3 linked regions of the Schizosaccharomyces pombe genome follow. Changing the gene in region 1 together with any one later gene gives a genetic interaction. Each region holds a gene or a part of one and is shown on either strand. Other genes may lie near its edges.

What was found.
Region 2: of idn1 (region 1) and loz1, changing one enhances a phenotype caused by changing the other (phenotypic enhancement), as found in Schizosaccharomyces pombe (one study listed by BioGRID).
Region 3: of idn1 (region 1) and gcd1, changing one suppresses a phenotype caused by changing the other (phenotypic suppression), as found in Schizosaccharomyces pombe (one study listed by BioGRID).

The regions. Positions count from the first base shown.
Region 1 is NC_003424.3:2,273,839-2,278,609, forward strand, and holds idn1 (gluconokinase), read left to right. Parts: upstream 1-3,031; 5' UTR 3,032-3,136; exon of another isoform or gene 3,137-3,187; 5' UTR 3,188-3,360; coding exon 3,361-3,942; 3' UTR 3,943-4,271; downstream 4,272-4,771. Other genes in the region: ornithine carbamoyltransferase Arg3, read left to right, coding at 174-1,157; cmb1 (cytosine-mismatch-binding protein 1), read right to left, coding at 1,740-2,339; retromer complex arrestin related endocytic adaptor ubunit Vps26, read right to left, coding at 4,404-4,771.
Region 2 is NC_003424.3:4,191,116-4,197,853, forward strand, and holds loz1 (zf-C2H2 type transcription factor), read right to left. Parts: upstream 4,099-6,738; 5' UTR 3,096-4,098; coding exon 1,527-3,095; 3' UTR 955-1,526; downstream 1-954. Other genes in the region: intramembrane aspartyl protease of the perinuclear ER membrane Ypf1, read left to right, coding at 1-125; SPOM_SPAC25B8.18 (electron carrier protein), read left to right, coding at 498-863; SPOM_SPAC683.03 (uncharacterized protein), read left to right, coding at 4,527-4,844; SPOM_SPAC683.02C (zf-CCHC type zinc finger protein ), read right to left, coding at 6,544-6,738.
Region 3 is NC_003421.2:237,938-244,229, reverse strand, and holds gcd1 (glucose-6-phosphate 1-dehydrogenase), read left to right. Parts: upstream 1-2,461; 5' UTR 2,462-2,515; intron 2,516-2,793; 5' UTR 2,794-3,021; coding exon 3,022-4,449; 3' UTR 4,450-4,767; downstream 4,768-6,292. Other genes in the region: wtf antidote-like meiotic drive suppressor Wtf5, read right to left, coding at 1-70, 237-375; SPOM_SPCC1529.01 (transporter), read right to left, coding at 4,980-5,079, 5,138-5,642, 5,697-6,091, 6,150-6,255.

The sequences.
Region 1 (4,771 bases):
TATATTACGGCGCCAATCTCGCAGTCTGAGAGAGAACTAGATATCGGCTATATGCAATCTCACCCTGAATATCTAAGAAATTACCAGTAACTTGTGGGTTCCTTGTAGTCGACTACAAAAACCGTATTTTTGATATATTTAGTCGAGAAGAATTATTCAGTTTGCAATTGAAAATGTCTTTCAAAAAATTTCCTCGTCATTTACTATCCATTCGTGATCTTAGTCGCGGAGAGATTGTAAAGTTGATCGATCGGTCTTCTGAAATTAAACAAGCTTATAAGCAGAATTTTCAGAATCGCCGTTCTGTTCAAATGAGTGGTTTGTCGTCTCAGAATGTCGCCATGATCTTCAGTAAGCGTAGCACTCGTACTCGTGTATCAGTCGAAAGTGCTGTCAGTTGCCTTGGCGGCAATGCCATGTTTTTAGGTAAAGATGATATCCAATTAGGAGTGAATGAGTCTTTATACGATACTTCAAAAGTTATATCAAGTATGGTTTCTGGTATTGTTGCTCGCGTAAACAAATATTCAGATGTTGCTACGCTCGCTAAACATGCCTCTTGTCCTGTTATTAATGGTCTTTGTGACACGTTTCATCCTCTCCAGGCGTTAGCAGATTTACTCACTATTAAGGAAACTTTCAAAAGCTTTGACGGTTTAAAAGTTGCATGGGTAGGTGATGCCAATAACGTTTTACATGATTTGATGATTGCAAATGCCAAGGTTGGTATTCATACTAGCGTTGCTAAGCCCAAGGACGTCAACGTTCGCGACGATATTTTATCAATCGTTAACGAAGCTGCGAACGAAAACGGTTCTACTTTTGAAATTGTTAACGACCCCAAGGTTGCTGTTAAAAATGCTGATATCGTCGTTACCGACACTTGGATTTCTATGGGTCAAGAAGCTGAGAAGGAACAACGTCTTAAACAATTTACAGGATTCCAAGTCACCGGAGAGATCATGAAGCTTGCCAAACCTAGCTGCAAATTCATGCATTGTTTACCCCGTCATCCCGAGGAAGTGTCTGACGAGGTATTTTATGGAGAGAACAGTTTAGTTTTCCAAGAAGCAGAGAACCGCAAATGGACCACTGTTGCTGTCTTGGAGGCTTTGCTTGTCAACCGTGGTGAAATTCTTCCTCCTGCCTCAGCCTAAACTGAAATCCTTAATTTCATTTTTATCTGGGGAATGTGCAAACAATGCCAACTTTATAATTTTTTTTATTGGGCGTGCAAATTGTGATATTCATTTTTGAAATTTTATGTACTTTGTTTCACAAAAAGAAAATTGACTTTTGAGAAAATTTTTTAATTGACAATTACTTTTCAGATTTTTTATGCGCAGGACACAGGCTTCTAAAGACGTACTTATACGTTAAAAAAGGGGATGGATCAATTTGGCTCATTAGTCCAACAAGCTTTGTGTAAAATTATTACCCGCTTAATGCTATCCTCTTAACTAGATATTTCAAGGTATCAAGCAATCATAGTATTAAGCACTATTATATGCAAAATACAATTTAAAATTAATAGAAACTACAAATAAGCGCAACACTCATAAGGAAAAAGCTTTGGGACAATAAAGCTTTCGTCAATGCGGAATCTACGACAGAAAGAAAACTTAGTGTAGGCATCGAAATTTATTATATTTCAAGCATGTATGCTAGTAAAATAAAACGTAAACTCATTGATTCAAGAAATCTATAGAAAAAAAAGATCTGGGCAAGTAGAGTGTGCATCATCGAAATCCGGCTTCTTTCATAAACTTATCGTATTGCTCTTTAAGTGCTTTGCTTTTATCAATAAATGGCTTTTTCTTGTCTTCCGCCAATTCCTTCCACGCCTTTGATGCATTTTGGGTCTCTTCAACGAGTGTGGAAATGGCTTCTGGAATACCTAACTCTTGACGTAGCTTGGGATTGTTTCGAAGCTCCTTGTAAAAGAGGATAAAAGCAGAAGAAGGTTTTTTAGGAACATCTGGATGACGAAGTCTGTAATAGCGACTGCCCGTGCTGTGAGCCTCCTTCGAGCGACGACGATTTTCACTATCGATTTCTGTAGGTGTAAAGGATCGTAGAGTCTCCATAAAACGCTTTTTCTCAGCATCGAACTGCTCCTGGAGTTTGTTTTTATACTTTTGGATCTCATCGGCAGTCAAAGCTTTGTATTTTTGACGAATCATCTCAAAGCGCTCAGGACCATTACCAGCACCTTTTGTTTCAACCAACATTTGATTCCAAATGGTTTTCAGCCTAGGGGGGATCAACTTCTGTAATCCATTCTTTTCGGCAGAAACGAGAGTAGTGTGAAACTGGCGTATTCTAATTGCAAATACCATTTTGTGAAAAATGATCAAAGATAATGGTGCTTGGTAAGTTAGGTAAGGAGGCATTGCGTCAAACAGACGCATTCAAGTACTGAGTAAATATCGGGTACGTAATATTGTACAACAGACAAATGAGTAGTAAAAAGACGGTTTACTCAATTTTTAATAGCATAGAATAAAGGCGTTAAAAGCAGTTTGTTTGTTTCTTGTAACCACAAAGGTAGTTTCTTTTTCTAAGTGAAACACTTCGACATTCAACATAACAAAGCGTTGGTCCACAGAATCAAAAAGGTACTCCAAAATGAAAAGGAAACAAACGCATCTTCATCTCTTGAGCAACAAAACAGCACTCATTTCTATACTTTTTCCAACCTTCCTTATATACCGTACCTCCCAGCACTCTCATATTCATTACTCACCATAGACTATATTGTAGCTGTGTATTTAGTATAAAAATGTTTCAGTGGAATCGTTGCTATTCACTATTCATTACAGTGTATTCTTTCAGCACGTTATTTTAATTTAATAAACCGAAATAACATGCCCCGGTTCTTCTTTTGTCATATTGGCATCTTGGGTTACTGAAGAGATGGGGTATACGTTGCTTCAATCTCATTAGTTCTAGAGCCCCTCTATACCCCGATTTCTAAACGTCAATCCAACTTAGTTTTAAGGCTGTCGGCCTAATTTAAAGTTCCTTTCTACAGCTACAAAATTTGTATTAAAGGGACGAGAAGCCCCCGGGTATTTGTTTGTTTTTAATAACATCTAGTGTGTATTAACTTTTCTTGGCTGTGTTTAACCAAGTCGTAAGTGTCTGCATTTTTTCGGTATTTCTTGCCGCTTACCACAAACTATAGTACCTTTGAAAAGTTGGCTGTTTTCCAGTAAATTTGCATCGCTTTGTCCGAGAAAGGAGCCTTTTAGCGCCATTTTGACAAAGCTTGTTTAAAACATCTCGTTCGATTACCACCAACGTGTGATTTTGTGATTGTACCCAAACTTTGAAATCCTCACAAATAATTCGATAACTATGACTGTTACTCCCATTAATCCTACTAATCAGCCATACAAATATGTATTTGTAGTCATCGGCCCTGCCGGTTCAGGAAAAACGACGATGGCTAAGGCGGTATCTGAGAAATTGGGTTTTGAGTATATTGAGGGTGATGATCTACACCCCAAAGCAAACATTGAAAAAATGAGTCAAGGCCATCCTTTGAATGATAACGATCGTTGGGGTTGGTTGCATAACTGCGGAGGTGCTTGTGCCATGGAACTTGACAAGGAATCGATAAAGGGAGTTGTGTTAACCTGCTCGGCCTTAAAGCGTAGTTACCGTGATATCCTTCGTAGCTCTTTGGAGCATCGTCCTGCAATTTTGCGCTTTATTTATTTAGCCGCTTCGAGAGAAACACTTATTAAAAGAACGACTAGTCGCAAAAATCATTACATGAAGGCTGACATGGTTGAAAGTCAATTGGCAATCCTTGAGGCTCCTACCGCTGATGAAAAGGATGTTATTACCATTAGCGTTGAGAATGGAAAAGAACAGTCAGAAGAAGAATGTCTTGATATCGTCCACAAAATGGTTAATGAAAACAAGCAACCTTAATGAGTCTTCTGCTTCTAAAATATTTGCACGCTCAGCTCACGTGTCTCTGTTTGTTTATTGTTACTACTTGATACGTTTTTGTAGTCTTTTGTTATTAAAAAAAAATTCAGAAAGTTCCTTGAAACGAAATGTTGTCGGCTTTTTCTTCATTTTTTTATTTTACTTTATAGTTAGCCCGGCTTTCTGTTTTAACTAGCAATATTCAAGGCATTTACCTTCTTTTCTGTCGTTTCTGCTGCAATGTATCACTGAAAAATAGGCAAACCAAAAATCAGCTCTGTTTATTAAACGTAACTTTTTGCTCTCTTTAAACTTACTATGCTTTTCTAATGCTTATTTTCTGAGAATTATAGAACTCCAACTTCTTATAGTACGTATATCGACCAGAAATAAAAAAATAAAAGAAAGAATGTATTATCATTAAAACTCACATCATGAACGAATAATGAGGATGTTATTCATCACTCATGCTCATCCCTTCTTCTCCATAAGGTTATTTCAGATTGTTTAAAATATCTCCTTTGATCCTCATCCACCAAAATTAGACTCAAATAATATCTCACACTAAATTTTTTATTAACGTCTCGAAATGTTGGTGTTAAAGCGTAGCCATTCAAAAACATCCGTAAAGGAATTGTTTCCCCACGATTAGGATTACCATCCATAATTTGAAATCTGGTAATCGTTTCACTGTTACTGTACTGGTTTGGTGATGTCCCGATCGTTTCACGCCGTATGATACTGACTTCCATCCGCTGAACCTTGATGCGTACAAGGATAAAGTAGATTTTCCCAATAATAACATCTTTTAAATGATATTTGTTTTTGC
Region 2 (6,738 bases), 1.9 Mb from region 1:
GTCCTGCCTGTATTGTCGCTCCATTACTAACTGCTTGGTATCGTGACGAATTGAAAACACTCTTCTCCTTTCGTAGTGAAACAGAAGATGAAACTGACGAACAAGATAAATGTAAAAGTACTTAAAATTGGTCCTTGATTTAGAATTTCAACATTCGTTTGTTAAAACCCATTCCTTACTTCACGCTCATCCGTTATTCGCCATACCGTATTTCCATAGTTTGCCATGTATATACGTTATACATATACCATGATATTCCACTTACCTCAATTCAATTTTTTACAAGAAATTTGCAAAAACCTTTATTTTGAAAGTTTATTTTAGAATAAAAAGTATTTGATTACAAAATTTAAATTACTCCAAATCACTACTAAAGAGTTGAGCATAGTGCATTTATACCACTTTGTTCCTTCGGCAATTATTTGACTCTGGTGTCTAAAATTTGAAATAATAAATAATTTTGATTATTAGTGAATTTCAGCTGTGTTTCTCCTAAAATGTTTGGTCTGACCACGAAAAGAATATTGACACTGTTTACCAAAAAGCGACAGACGCTAGTTGAGCAAAAATTAACAGAGTATATGATTGCAGGTGAAAAAACGGATAATCAAATGCTTCATTTTAAATTACAGGTCGAAACAGCTACCCCAACCCTTGACCAATTGAATATCATGCTCTCTAACATTGGTAAAGATAAAAGTGATTTACTTGTCGCAGGTGCTACGTCTATTGAAGATGCTTTGACAAAGTACCAGCATGATAATCAATTGTTTCGACGACCTTGCCTTGTGGATTGGGATAAGGGAAAAGTTAGTCCATATTCCATCCTTCTCCAAACTCGCGACTTTTCTAAACTTTTATAAAAATATCTCTTATTCCAACGACCGATTTTTACGTATCATTTTAGTTTATGAGCATCCTTTCAACTGATGTTGAAATGCGATGCATTTCAAGTTACGAATAATAAAAAATTTTGTTATTATTATATCTGCATATTCAATAGTTACTGTAATAGGATTCATCAGAAATTCCTTTTTATCCACTTAATATGTCGTTCGTTGCCAGATCTTTCGAATGGACTTAATTGATTGATATCTTGAGTTCGCTAGTAAACACATATTTGTACGATAGAAAACTTTTTAAGGGTAATAAATTAGCTAACAATGAAAGAACATTTCGGAAGTAGAAAGCTCAAAATAGATTCTTCGAATCATAATAAAATGAGACTTTAAGCATATGTTAAAGCTAGGTAGGTTAAACGGAAATGAGAAACGTGACACGCAAACTGTAATCAAAAAAATTATTTTAAACTAAACTCTAGTAAACGCGCGATAACAAAACGTAAAAGAAAAGGAACGGAAGGTAATGCTATATATTCTTTAAGGGTGCGGGCAGCCAACTGCTATGTGGTTTTATTCAATAAATTTTTATATATCATGAAATTAATATCGTCAGAAGTTGTAGTAGTCGCAATAAATGGCTTTCAAGTAACGGCTAATAATTGCTATCAGACAGGTTAAAATTGGCTACAAACCATGAATGCGTTGATGTCGCCGCATATTACTGCGTACATTGAACGCCTTTCCACATCCAGCGTAATCGCAGACAAACGGCCTTTCTCCTGTATGGGAATATGTATGAATTTTTAGACTAGAAGGCCTAGAAAATCCTTGTAAACATTCCGTACATCTATATCGAACGTTGGCAGCGGAAGAGGTAGACGAAGAACCGGTATGGGATTGTGCAATTTTGCGTGAAGTTGAATGTCGCCGCGATACATGAGCTCTCTTATCGTTGTTGTGATGATCAGAATAATTTGAATCAGATTGCTGACCCATTGGATGAGCCTGCGCGCTGTTGCTAGCCAAAGTAGCAACAACACTAAGTTCCGCGCTCATGTTATCCTTGAAATTTAAAGAAGGAATATATGGATTTCTGGATAAAGTGTGATTGTTTTCAGCGTCATTAGGAAGCGGAACCGAGACTGGATAAGAGGTGTTTGCCGGGCCTTGAGAATCATTTGATTGCGAGGTTGAGCTTTCGGAAGCGTTTTCGGCTTGATTACCATTTGCATGATTTAAAGTATTACTTGCAGGAGGAGCAACCGATGAAAGACGTGATTCATCGACTGTGGGATGATTTTGAAGATCTCGGGAGCTGGGTTGATACTGTGCAAATTCTGTATTATGCGGAACAGGGATGTGCTGGGGCAGTGCACCCTGAGCACATCCAGGACATACAATTGGATAAAATGGCTGTTGAAAAGGAAGTACTATGGGAGCGGCAGGAATAGGAGCAGATGTAACTTCTTGATTATTAGAAGACGGAGGATTTGCGCCTGAGGTATTGTTCTTGGAACTAGGCTGCTCTGCAGCTTCAGAAGATTGCCTTTGATTAGCAAGCGCCAGTTCGTTAGCCTTTGCAACAAAATATGCATAGGAAAGAGGGGAGTAACCAGACAAAAATCCAGCAGGAACAGCAGCCGGATTAGAGTTTCCATTACTAGTGTTAGAAGCATCAGTCGCCGAGCCTGTAGTCGCGTGAGCATAATGCGGGACGGCAGCAGCTGCTGCTGCTGCCAAGAAAGTCGGGTCGGCGAATGTCCCACCTAAAATAGTAGAAATGGGAGGAAGTCTAAGTCGAGCGCTTGATGCTGCCAAGAGGTTTGGAGGCATATGAGGATGGCCGTGAACAGTAGTACAACAACAAAGTGCGTTGTTTGTAGAAGGAGAAAACTCTAACTGACCGGCAGCATTCAGGATAGCAGGCATGCTTGCGGCTGATGTGACATTGTTCTCCAAATTTTGATTAGAATTTGAAGTAGTCGGGGTGTTAGTATTACCTGCAGGAGGAACTGGTGCCGGTGTTGGACGAGATACATTTGCAGATTCCGAAACAGTAGCAGCTTGAGGATCGAAAGCTTTTTGAGCTACTTGTGGAACATCTACCGAGCCATGAAAAGCAGGATTCTGCACATGTGGGTATGGACAAGCAGGAAACATGTTATATACTATTCCAGAAGTAGTGGGAAGAGAAGATTGAGGAGGGTTCTCGTTATTACGTCTATTGATTGAAGGAGTGTTATCTGAGCTCATCACTTTTAAAAACAGCAAAAGCCTAAAGAAATGAAAAAATTGAACTGAACCAAAGTAAGTCAGATCGTTCTATTCGGAGTAGCAAAGAAGCGTCACTGGATAGAAAGTGAGTTATAATGAGACTCGGTTAAATATATTTAATTTCTGTCGTGAGATTGAACACGATATTACGAGAAAGTCCTCTATATTTGAGGGGTGAAAGTGTCCGATATTTGATTGACACAGAATTGCTATCCTACGAAGTAAAAGAATATCTCAGTTTAGCCAAAGCAAGAACAATTAAAAGAGGCAATGCAAGAGACAAAAGAATAACGGGATCCAAGGATGATCAATGTAAGAATAAAAAAGCAATTGATCGACTGATTAACCCTACAGTAAATTTTTTTTTGGGGGTTTTTTTTATAATAAATAGCGGAAATGAGTGAGCGGAACAAACAAACAAAGCAAAGAAAAAACAAAAACTTCCTACAACCTTTACGAAGAGGAAGGAAAGAGTGAAAAAACTAGAAAAACCAACTCAAAGGCGCTCTAGGACAAAAAAAATATGGTCAATCGTTTCCACGTGACCAAATTCCAACGAACCAAGAAACACAAATAAAAAAACTAGGAGAATACAGAAAAATTAAAATGAGATGCAGCAACAAAGGGAACGAAAAGTAATTTGTTTGCTCTCCACAAGCCGACAATTTTTACAGCACTCTCTTTCCTCGAAGATAAATCCAATAAACCGCTACCTTCCAAAATACCAGAACGTGAAAAAGGCAGGAAACAAAGAAAATTAAGATATCCGTATGCCAAACGAGTGGACTCGAAAGGGCAAACAGGATAAACCAAGAGAACCAAGCTACAATTCAGTTGTTGGTCAAATGATGCTGCCAGAGAAAGGATAACACGAAAATATAAGAAAATATTACAAATAATTGGGAAAATACCACTGGAAACTTGGTGGATTCCTTGATTTGCAATTTACCTAGTGGTGTTGTTGTTATACAGTAGGAGTGGTAAACGGGGAAATCCGGTAAATATCTTTATATAAACGTGAGAGATGGCAAAGCTTTTTTAACGGTGATCGGCGTAATGTTACCTAAAACTTTGTTGGTAATCTCAATACGGGGCGAGTAACAATTTTCTCCAGATAACGAATTACAGCTTTGCCGGCCGACCCCGCTTTAGCTAAAATTTTTTTAGGGGAACTAATATAGACTCAATGGAAGGAGCAAATCGACAGAAACAATATAGTCTGTAATGTAAAGAAGTCTACGAAAAAACCAGCAAGACCTTGATGTTCTTTACTTTCTGGATTCGATGTGGTGGAATACGTCAAACGATCGGAATTTGTATTTTGGGACCCCTTTGACCCATTTACCCATTCCCATATGATCGACGAATGATCTGCGTTGAAGTAACAGGATTACTATATCAGATATCTCGATGGAAAAATGCATTAACCGTTATAAGGATATATTGCCGTTAAACCGCTATAGCGACGGTAGTGGCAAATGCTGGGGATTACTGGGCTGTGAAATATCGAGTGTAGTAGGACAGACTGGAGTAAAGAGATTATTATTGGGATCAATTACTAAGTTTGTATACTGTTCTATGAGGTTATTTTCATTGTATACTATTGTACAATATTTTAAGTCATTGCGTTGTCTACGAAATGGGCGGACAGAAGTGCGCCTGTATACACATTACAAGAGACATCTTCCCCGTTCAGTGAATTCCATCTATTTACAAACAAATTGTTGAACGATTATTCACAATTTAGAAATGGCCGATCGGCCCAACAGCGATTCCGAGCCCGGTGTTTTCAAGTGCCATGCTTCATTTTTCTGCATGGGAGTATATCGCTGTGTAAGAATCCATCACAATAGCAAATGGACATGCGATCCAACGACGATGGGGCGGCAGTGTATTGATCACACATCGCCAGAAAAACTCATCTCTCGCTAACGTAAGCAGATAAAACAATGTCCTCAATTCACTAATGACTATTCTTTAGCGAGAGTTGCGCTAGATTGCCTAACACTTGGCGTACAATAGGCGGATTACCAATGGATATCCCATCGTATGGCCAACATTGGGCTCACAATTCAATTTAAAGGATCGTAAGGAATTGCAACATAGTACAGGAATAAGCAACGTACTTGAAGCTATCGTACAGTATCACCCGTATAACAAATGCTACTGAACGATCGATCAGCGAGGCAAGAAAGTGGATTGAAAACTTGACTTGAAATCGATGAAAAGGCTTATTCAAAATAAAAAAATTTTTTTTACGATTTACATATGAGTCAAACGCATATCAAGTACTTACTTCCGTCTTTTCGTTAACATTGCATACTTCTTGGGTTAGCTCCTATATTAACGCATTGTTTACCAATCTCAGTACCAGTTTGTTAATCCATGTTAAATCCTTTCATTATAATTAATACCTATTTTCCAGCTCAAGGTCCATTCTTTATTTTATTTTATTTTATTTATTTTATTTTTATTTTACTATTATTATTATTATTTTTAATTTTACGAAATTCATATAAAAACTTTATGCACTCTTGTAAATTCACAATTCCGATTAATTCACATTTAAGTTCGATTAATTCGCAATTCATGTATAGTTAGGCATATTGCAGGCATATACCATATACACAAAGAACCAAAAAGTCGCTGTAAAAGTCCACTGCTGGATAATCCTTCTTGCAACTGTCAGTCACATAACGGTGTGTCACTTTGGGTGGATAAGGATTACAGTATAGAGAGGGGGCGATCATTAGTCAGTAAATGTATTTTTACATCCATGAATGGACCCTTGAAACGGGATTTGCATTGTCTTCTGTCAAGTGATACCGCATATCACGTGCAATGAAATCCATGATCTATATTTCGGCATTTGTTTTCTCAGCTGGCAATCGCAGCCTGCCAGTATTACGAGTTGAGTAGGGGTTTCCATGATTCCCTACGTAGAGAGAGAGTATCGCACATATACATTAAGGTAATAATTTGTATGAAATGAGTCGAGTTGTCGAAACCAAATTACAAATAGAAATTTAATGGTCAGATATCTAATATCTAATTGATTACATGTATTGTTTGTTAATTCATTTTAATATAAGCAATTAAAAAATTAACGCTTTGAATTTTTGCTAAGAATATATTGTTTTTGGTATTCGGATTTGTAGGATTACATTAAAAGTGTCAGCTAGCTATATTGTCCCAACACAACAAGACAGCAAAAATATTTTGCTTTTTACTCTTCTCTTTTCTATTATTTCTTTAATTTTTTCAATTTATTATAAAATATTAATTATTTTTCATACACATCAACTTCAAAATTCGCATATGTAATCGAAAACGTACCAAAAGCTGATTATCTGTTACAGTTACTATACCATGGCTTGCCTTCTGGTCTAGTCCAATTCCTTTCCCCGTTTACCTTTCCAAAACCCTTTTAAAACGTAACCAACTTTTTCACAGGTTTCACTGGTCTTTTCTTAGTAGGCGCTGCAACCGTTTTGGCGTATTCATGATATACGTCTTCATCAGCTCCAGTGGTACCAGCGACACCAACAACATGGCCAAAGGAAACATCATCCTTGTTCACTTGATCACAATCCTTTGCTAAATGATGTACAGAGGAACAAAA
Region 3 (6,292 bases), on another chromosome or scaffold:
GAATTATCTGTCGTCCCATAAGAATGGTTTTCTCTATGTGTGTTAGGAGGATTATTTACAAGTGCATGATCTGTTTAAATTAATATAATGAAATACTTTAGTAAAGAAAGAGCATGTATCAAATTGTGTGCATTGCATGGCCGACTGTAAACAATGACCAAAGCATGCAATTTGACAAGATGGCAAGTTTCAACTTTCCATTGAGTAATTCCTTTCTTATTATTTACAATTCTTACCTGAATATGGAGGCAATGTACTTTCCTCCTCTGAATCATATTCTGGGAGGGGTCCTTTTTCCAAATCGATTTCATGATCTGTCTTCAATTCATCTTCTTCATCTAGAGGACTTTTCAAAGAAGTGTAATTATTCTTCATAATAATAAAATCATTCTTTATTTAATAAAATACATGCGCGAATTAATTGCTATGATTGCGACAAACCAAACAGCGAAATCAAGAATATTCACTTTGTAGTCCAATTCCAATCGCTTTAAAGACTTTTTAACAAAATAATAAAATCGTTCAAACAAATTTCCAACTAATTCCTTCAAACAATGGCATAAAAAAAGAAGAACGAAAAAACTGAACGAGGCAGTGAATTGCTTCTGACACATTTATTCTGTCACTGCCTTTTTTATTCACCCCAACTTAGCTTTCCTTAAACGTTTTTGAGAAACAAACCCATCATTTATCAGTATAGACGTTTACTGCGACTTTTGAAACTGAATAGTGCGTGCAAGTGTCGCTTCGTTATCAGGAGTACGTCCGGCGTCGTACTATTTAATATTATGCATTTCAGTATTTAGCAACCACCAAATTCCATATCCCCGCGGTACTAGGGGAAAGTAGTAGGAGATCACTAAGTGTTTGACCAAGAATTCAAGGGAGGGGTTTTCTTCACAACCCATGGAAGAAAACAACATGGTGACAGGAATGAATAATTTGCATCAATATCAAAAATTGTAAGCCTAAATTTATCTTTACAAATTTCACGTACATAGACTGTTTTAGCTCCTCTGTCCATTTCAGTACAGTTACCGCATCTCGAACGAAATGTACCGAACTCATTAACATACGAATACTATCGTTATGATGGAATAGGGGAGATAAGAGAAAAAGCTTAGTAGAGAAAAAAGAGGATGGAAGAGGAACGCCATGCAAAACAGTAAATACATGCTTTTACTAGACTGACTTAGGGATATGCAAAACGTACGTTAAAAAAGAAGGCTCTGTTAATTTCCAATTTCGTAAATTTTGGCTAATAAGCAAAACAACGCCTTTTACTCCAAACTTCTAGATTTCCTGCCCCAACTTTGTGCCCTTCGGCTTCTACCCTAGCTGACCTTTTTTTCCTTTTGCTAAGACAACCATTTGGGAAGCCACAACGAAGCCCTAATTTTCCTTTAACGAGGTATGCTCCATCTCCTTATTGCCGAGATCTCTCCCCCTCTTCATACAAAGGCAAAATTCCTCTGCCAGACATGTCCAGAAGCATACGTAAGGTAAGGAGACTGAGAAAAAGAATGGATCTAGTAGGAAGAATATGAGGAATGCATTTCCAGGTTCTGAGAACGGGCTTAGATGTGCAATGACAGAGATGCGAAATGGAAGTGTAAATTTATTAAAGTCCTTTGTATCTCTTACACTACCCAAGTTTTAATGTACATGGTTTTATGTTGCCTATATCAGTGTGTAATAAAGTATATCACAGCAAATCCCTCCTTGTGTAAATTATAACAAGCGTAACTGTAACGTGCTTTGGTCCTACTGCGCTATTTTTTTAACGCTACGCTGTGCGCCCGCCTGCCTTGCTCTGCCATGCTTCTACTCTAATTCCTACTTTTTCCGAGATCCCCCGCTTCCCCCCTTCAAACTTTACTCGTTTCCCATAAACCTTATGCGAGGAAAATCTTCAGTGCTGATTGATGGATGATCGAATGTTTTGAAGATTTGCATTACCCGAGTAACCCCCTTTTCGTCGAACTCTCATATTCATTGGCACCTGCGTTTCGGTTCCCCTCTCCTTGGTCCGGGGTCTGTCTGACTAGCCACTAAGGTCCTTACTCTCAGTTGCCCAGTTGGCTAGGCTACTGCTACATTGACGTAGTAGAGCCGAAAGTGTAAAAGAGCATTTCATGCATCGTGCAATGCACATCATTGGAAGCGGTAGGAATTGTGGGCGTGGTAACCAGCAAAGCTTAAATACTAAAGTCTAAAGTTTGCTCACACACCTTGTCATACCTGGGCCACACGTTCGAGAGCTTGTCGCCCCGCCTCACCCCGGGCAGTCCCGCATCTTAAAAGGAAGTTTGGCTTGGGTTTGTTTTGTTTACACCTTGTCCCATGTTTGCGGAGACGTTAGGTTGATAGATGCATTAAGGTCTTTCCAATCGTGTCTGATGTCACGAGCATTGCTTCAAGTTGTATATATACAAGAGTATGGTCCCTCTTCTGAACCCCCAGCAACCTTGGTTTGTAAAACATACTCGCTTTTGATTCGTCGTGTGGAGTTTAGGTAGGTGGTTGGCGAATTTTTTCGTTTCGCTTATTGTTGGGCCGGGGATTTTTGAAAAAAGGGCAGGGTAAGGCAGGGCAGTGAGTAGTGGGTAGTGAGTAATGGTGCTAGTTAAGGGTAGACGCAAAGTGAATCATCAAAGGATATTCAACTCAATTGTCAATAATAATTACCTGAAATATCACCTTTTTCTCCTCTCCTCCCCCTCCTGTTCTCTCCTTTTCTTCTTTTCTCTTTCTTTCTGTCTTTTATCTTTGCTCTTTTCTAACACAATTTAGTATATCTATCTCGTAGATAACAAGACAATTTCCTTCGAATTTAAACTATCATCGCAAATTGACCTTTTGAAAAAATCTCATTGGATTTCCTTTAAATCATTTCATTTGTTTAATTTTTTTTTCTTTCACCCAAAAGAAAAAATATTTTCAATCTTACTTTCACTACTAATCTCGCCTTTTGTCTCAGACACTTTTTTTCCACTTTCTTTCCAACTTTTTTAAACAAAAATGCTATCCATCATTGTTTTCGGTGCATCCGGCGATCTCGCTACCAAAATGACTTTCCCGGCCTTGTTTGCCCTTTACGTCCGCAAAATTATTCCCGAGGACTTTCAAATCATCGGCTATGCCCGTTCCAAATTGTCCCAAGAGGCCGCTAACAAAATCGTCACCGCCCATATTCCCATTGACGATACTGTCGGTGCTTCTCAAAAGGCCTTAAACACCTTTGTCGAGCATTACAAGTATGTCCCCGGTACTTATGATAAGCCCGAGTCTTTTGAGATGCTAAACAGCATTATTGCTGAAAAGGAGACTGCTCCCGCCTCCGAATGCACACGTATCTTTTACTTGGTTCTGCCTCCTCATCTCTTTGCTCCCGTTTCCGAGCTAATCAAGAGTAAGGCTCATCCCAATGGTATGGTCACTCGTCTTATTGTTGAGAAGCCCATCGGCTTCGACTACAAGTCTGCCGATGCCATTCTCAGCGATCTCAGCAAGCACTGGTCTGCCAAGGATACTTTCAAAGTCGACCATTTCCTTGGCGAGGATATGATTGATGGATTCACTGCAATTCGCTTTGCAAACTCCATGTTCGAGCCCATCTGGAATCGTGAACACATTGAAAGTGTTCGTGTCGACTTTCGTGAAGACTTTGGTTGTGAGGGACGTGGAGGTTATTTTGAGGGCGCTGGTATCCTTCGCGATGTCGTTCAAAATCATCTTTTGCAACTACTTACCTTACTTTGCATCGAAGAGCCAAAGTCTCAAGATGCCGAAGATATCATCAAATGCAAGGTTGACTTCTTGAAATCCCTTCATCCCGTTTCCAAGGAGGACATCGTCTATGGACAGTACACTAAAAGTGCAAATGGAAAGGTCCCCGGTTATCGTGAACTGGATGGTGTTGCTGATGACAGTGAAGTTTCTACATTCTGTGCTCTTCAACTTCGCTCTGAAGCACCTCGTTGGAAGGGTATTCCCATCATCATTTCTGCCGGTAAAGGTTTGGACCGCGATTACTTTGAAGCTCGTATCACTTTTAAGCGTAGGGAAGGAGGTATGTTCCCTACCGTTGATAGCAGCAATGTTCTAGTCCTTCGTGTTTATCCCAAGGAATTCATTGCCCTCAAGGGACACATTAAACAACCTGGTTTCTCTCGTCAAATTGTTCCTGTGACTTTGGACGTTAAGTATCCCGAAGCTTTCCCTGATACATGGATCCATAAGGCCTATGAAGTGGTTATTGCCGATGCCATTAATGGAAAGCATACACACTTTATTAGTGATGATGAGGTTCGTACCTCTTGGAAAATCTTTGATGATGTCCTTGACACTACAGGCGATTTGTCACCTCTTCCTTATGCTTTTGGTTCCCACCATGGTCCAGATGCCACACTCGAATTTTTCAAGAAGCGTAATTTAGAGTGGGATTAAATCAAAGGAAACCATATCAAGTCTTTTGAACCACCATATTTTTTTTAATACACGGGTTTGTATATTTGTTAAGCTAATGAGCAAACTTCATATATGACATCCTTTCGCTTTGCCTTTTCCCTTTTTCAACTTTTTTTTTTATAAAACCATTTTTCTTATTTAGCTTTACGCTCAATTTAATAATCTAATTTTATGTGACAACGAACATCATCCATAAATATTAAGCCTCTTTTCTTACAAAACTTTGTAGTACATAGTAACGAGATGTGAGTATTATTTTTATTCATCGAAAAAATAAAAACGCTTCAAACATTTTGAGTCAATATAAAAGTATCACATTGCGTTGTAAATTAAATTATAGCTCTCTTGCTTAGTGCTTAACGTTTGAAGAAATGTGTATTTACTGAATCGTATACAAATTTTTTTGACATTATTTTAACTTTTTATTGAATAGAGTTGATAGTGTTCCAACCATTATTAAATTGTATTATTGTATTATTACAAAATATCTGTAAAATAAATAAGATTACCTATACATCGTCTTTAAAAATGACCATGCTAGATAATGCCCGTAACCGTTTTCCACCAAACCAAAGTAAAGAACATGTAATTATGGAGGATCCCAATACACTTTATCTACTGTTAGTAAAAATTGATAAAAAGAGAGATGATCCATCAAAAAACATACATAAATGCCAAAAGAGAGTTACCCCATCCATATCCCAAGGTATCATACATGTCCTGGCCAAAAAGAGGGAATGCAAAAGCAGCAATCGATCGAACACAACAGGCAACTGCTGTCGACGATGCTGCATAAATCATAAAAGAATCAATTAAATAAGTTTGGATACCACGCCAGCCTAACATCAAACCTATATTAAACATGGCTGCGCCAATATCTGGACCAATCCAGTGAGTGTGATACTGCGCAGTCCAACCATAAATAAACAAGCCAGCTGGAAAGAAAAAAGTTCCCAATAAAATTACGGGGACTCGAAATTCAGGTGCCATCTTTCCATTGTTTCTACGTTTTAGGTATCGAAACGTTTTATCAATAAATATACCAGATGCTTGACTGCCAAAGATAAGGCCTATCCCCGAAGCAATGTAGTTTAGGCCAGCGATGGAAGGTCGTTCATGATACTCTTCGGTCCACAATGTGGGGTATGTAGTTAAAACAAGATAGAGAATACCTATAACGGTAAGTTGAGGTGTTTCATTGAAGAAAGTATAACTATTTTACCTACCATATTGAATAGCCATATACGTAGAACATAGTATCACGATAGGTTGGGTGAAAAGCATTCGTATTGGTCTCATTAAAGCTGGAGTGACAAGTTTAAGCCTAGGGATATGCTCGAGATTCCACTCAGTATGATACTTATTTGTCTTTTCAGACTTGTTGAGCTTTCGAGCTTTTTCTCCCAGCAGAGTTTTGGGATATGTTTCTGCAAGCAAGGGCAGAGAAAGGGCAAATATAAAGCCACTGAAGATGGTTGTAGACCAAAAGATCCACTTGTAAGTTGTATATTCTGCAATGAATCCGCTAACGACAGGGCCAATAGTAGGACCCAATAGAGGAGCAAGGGACATCACTGCAACGGCCTTTCCTCTCTCGTCAGGAGTGAACAGATCACTGATACTGAATAAAGAAAACGTTAGTCATTTCATCTTTTAAGGGAAAAAATATATATACTTACGTTCCACTACCGAGACCCATTGGAGTGGCACTACCAAAACCAGCGAGGAATCGAAAAATGTACATTTGCGCTTTTGTCCTTGCAAGACCGCATGCCATGTTGAAGACTTTGACAAAAGGTTAGCTGGAAAGAAGTGAAAAGGA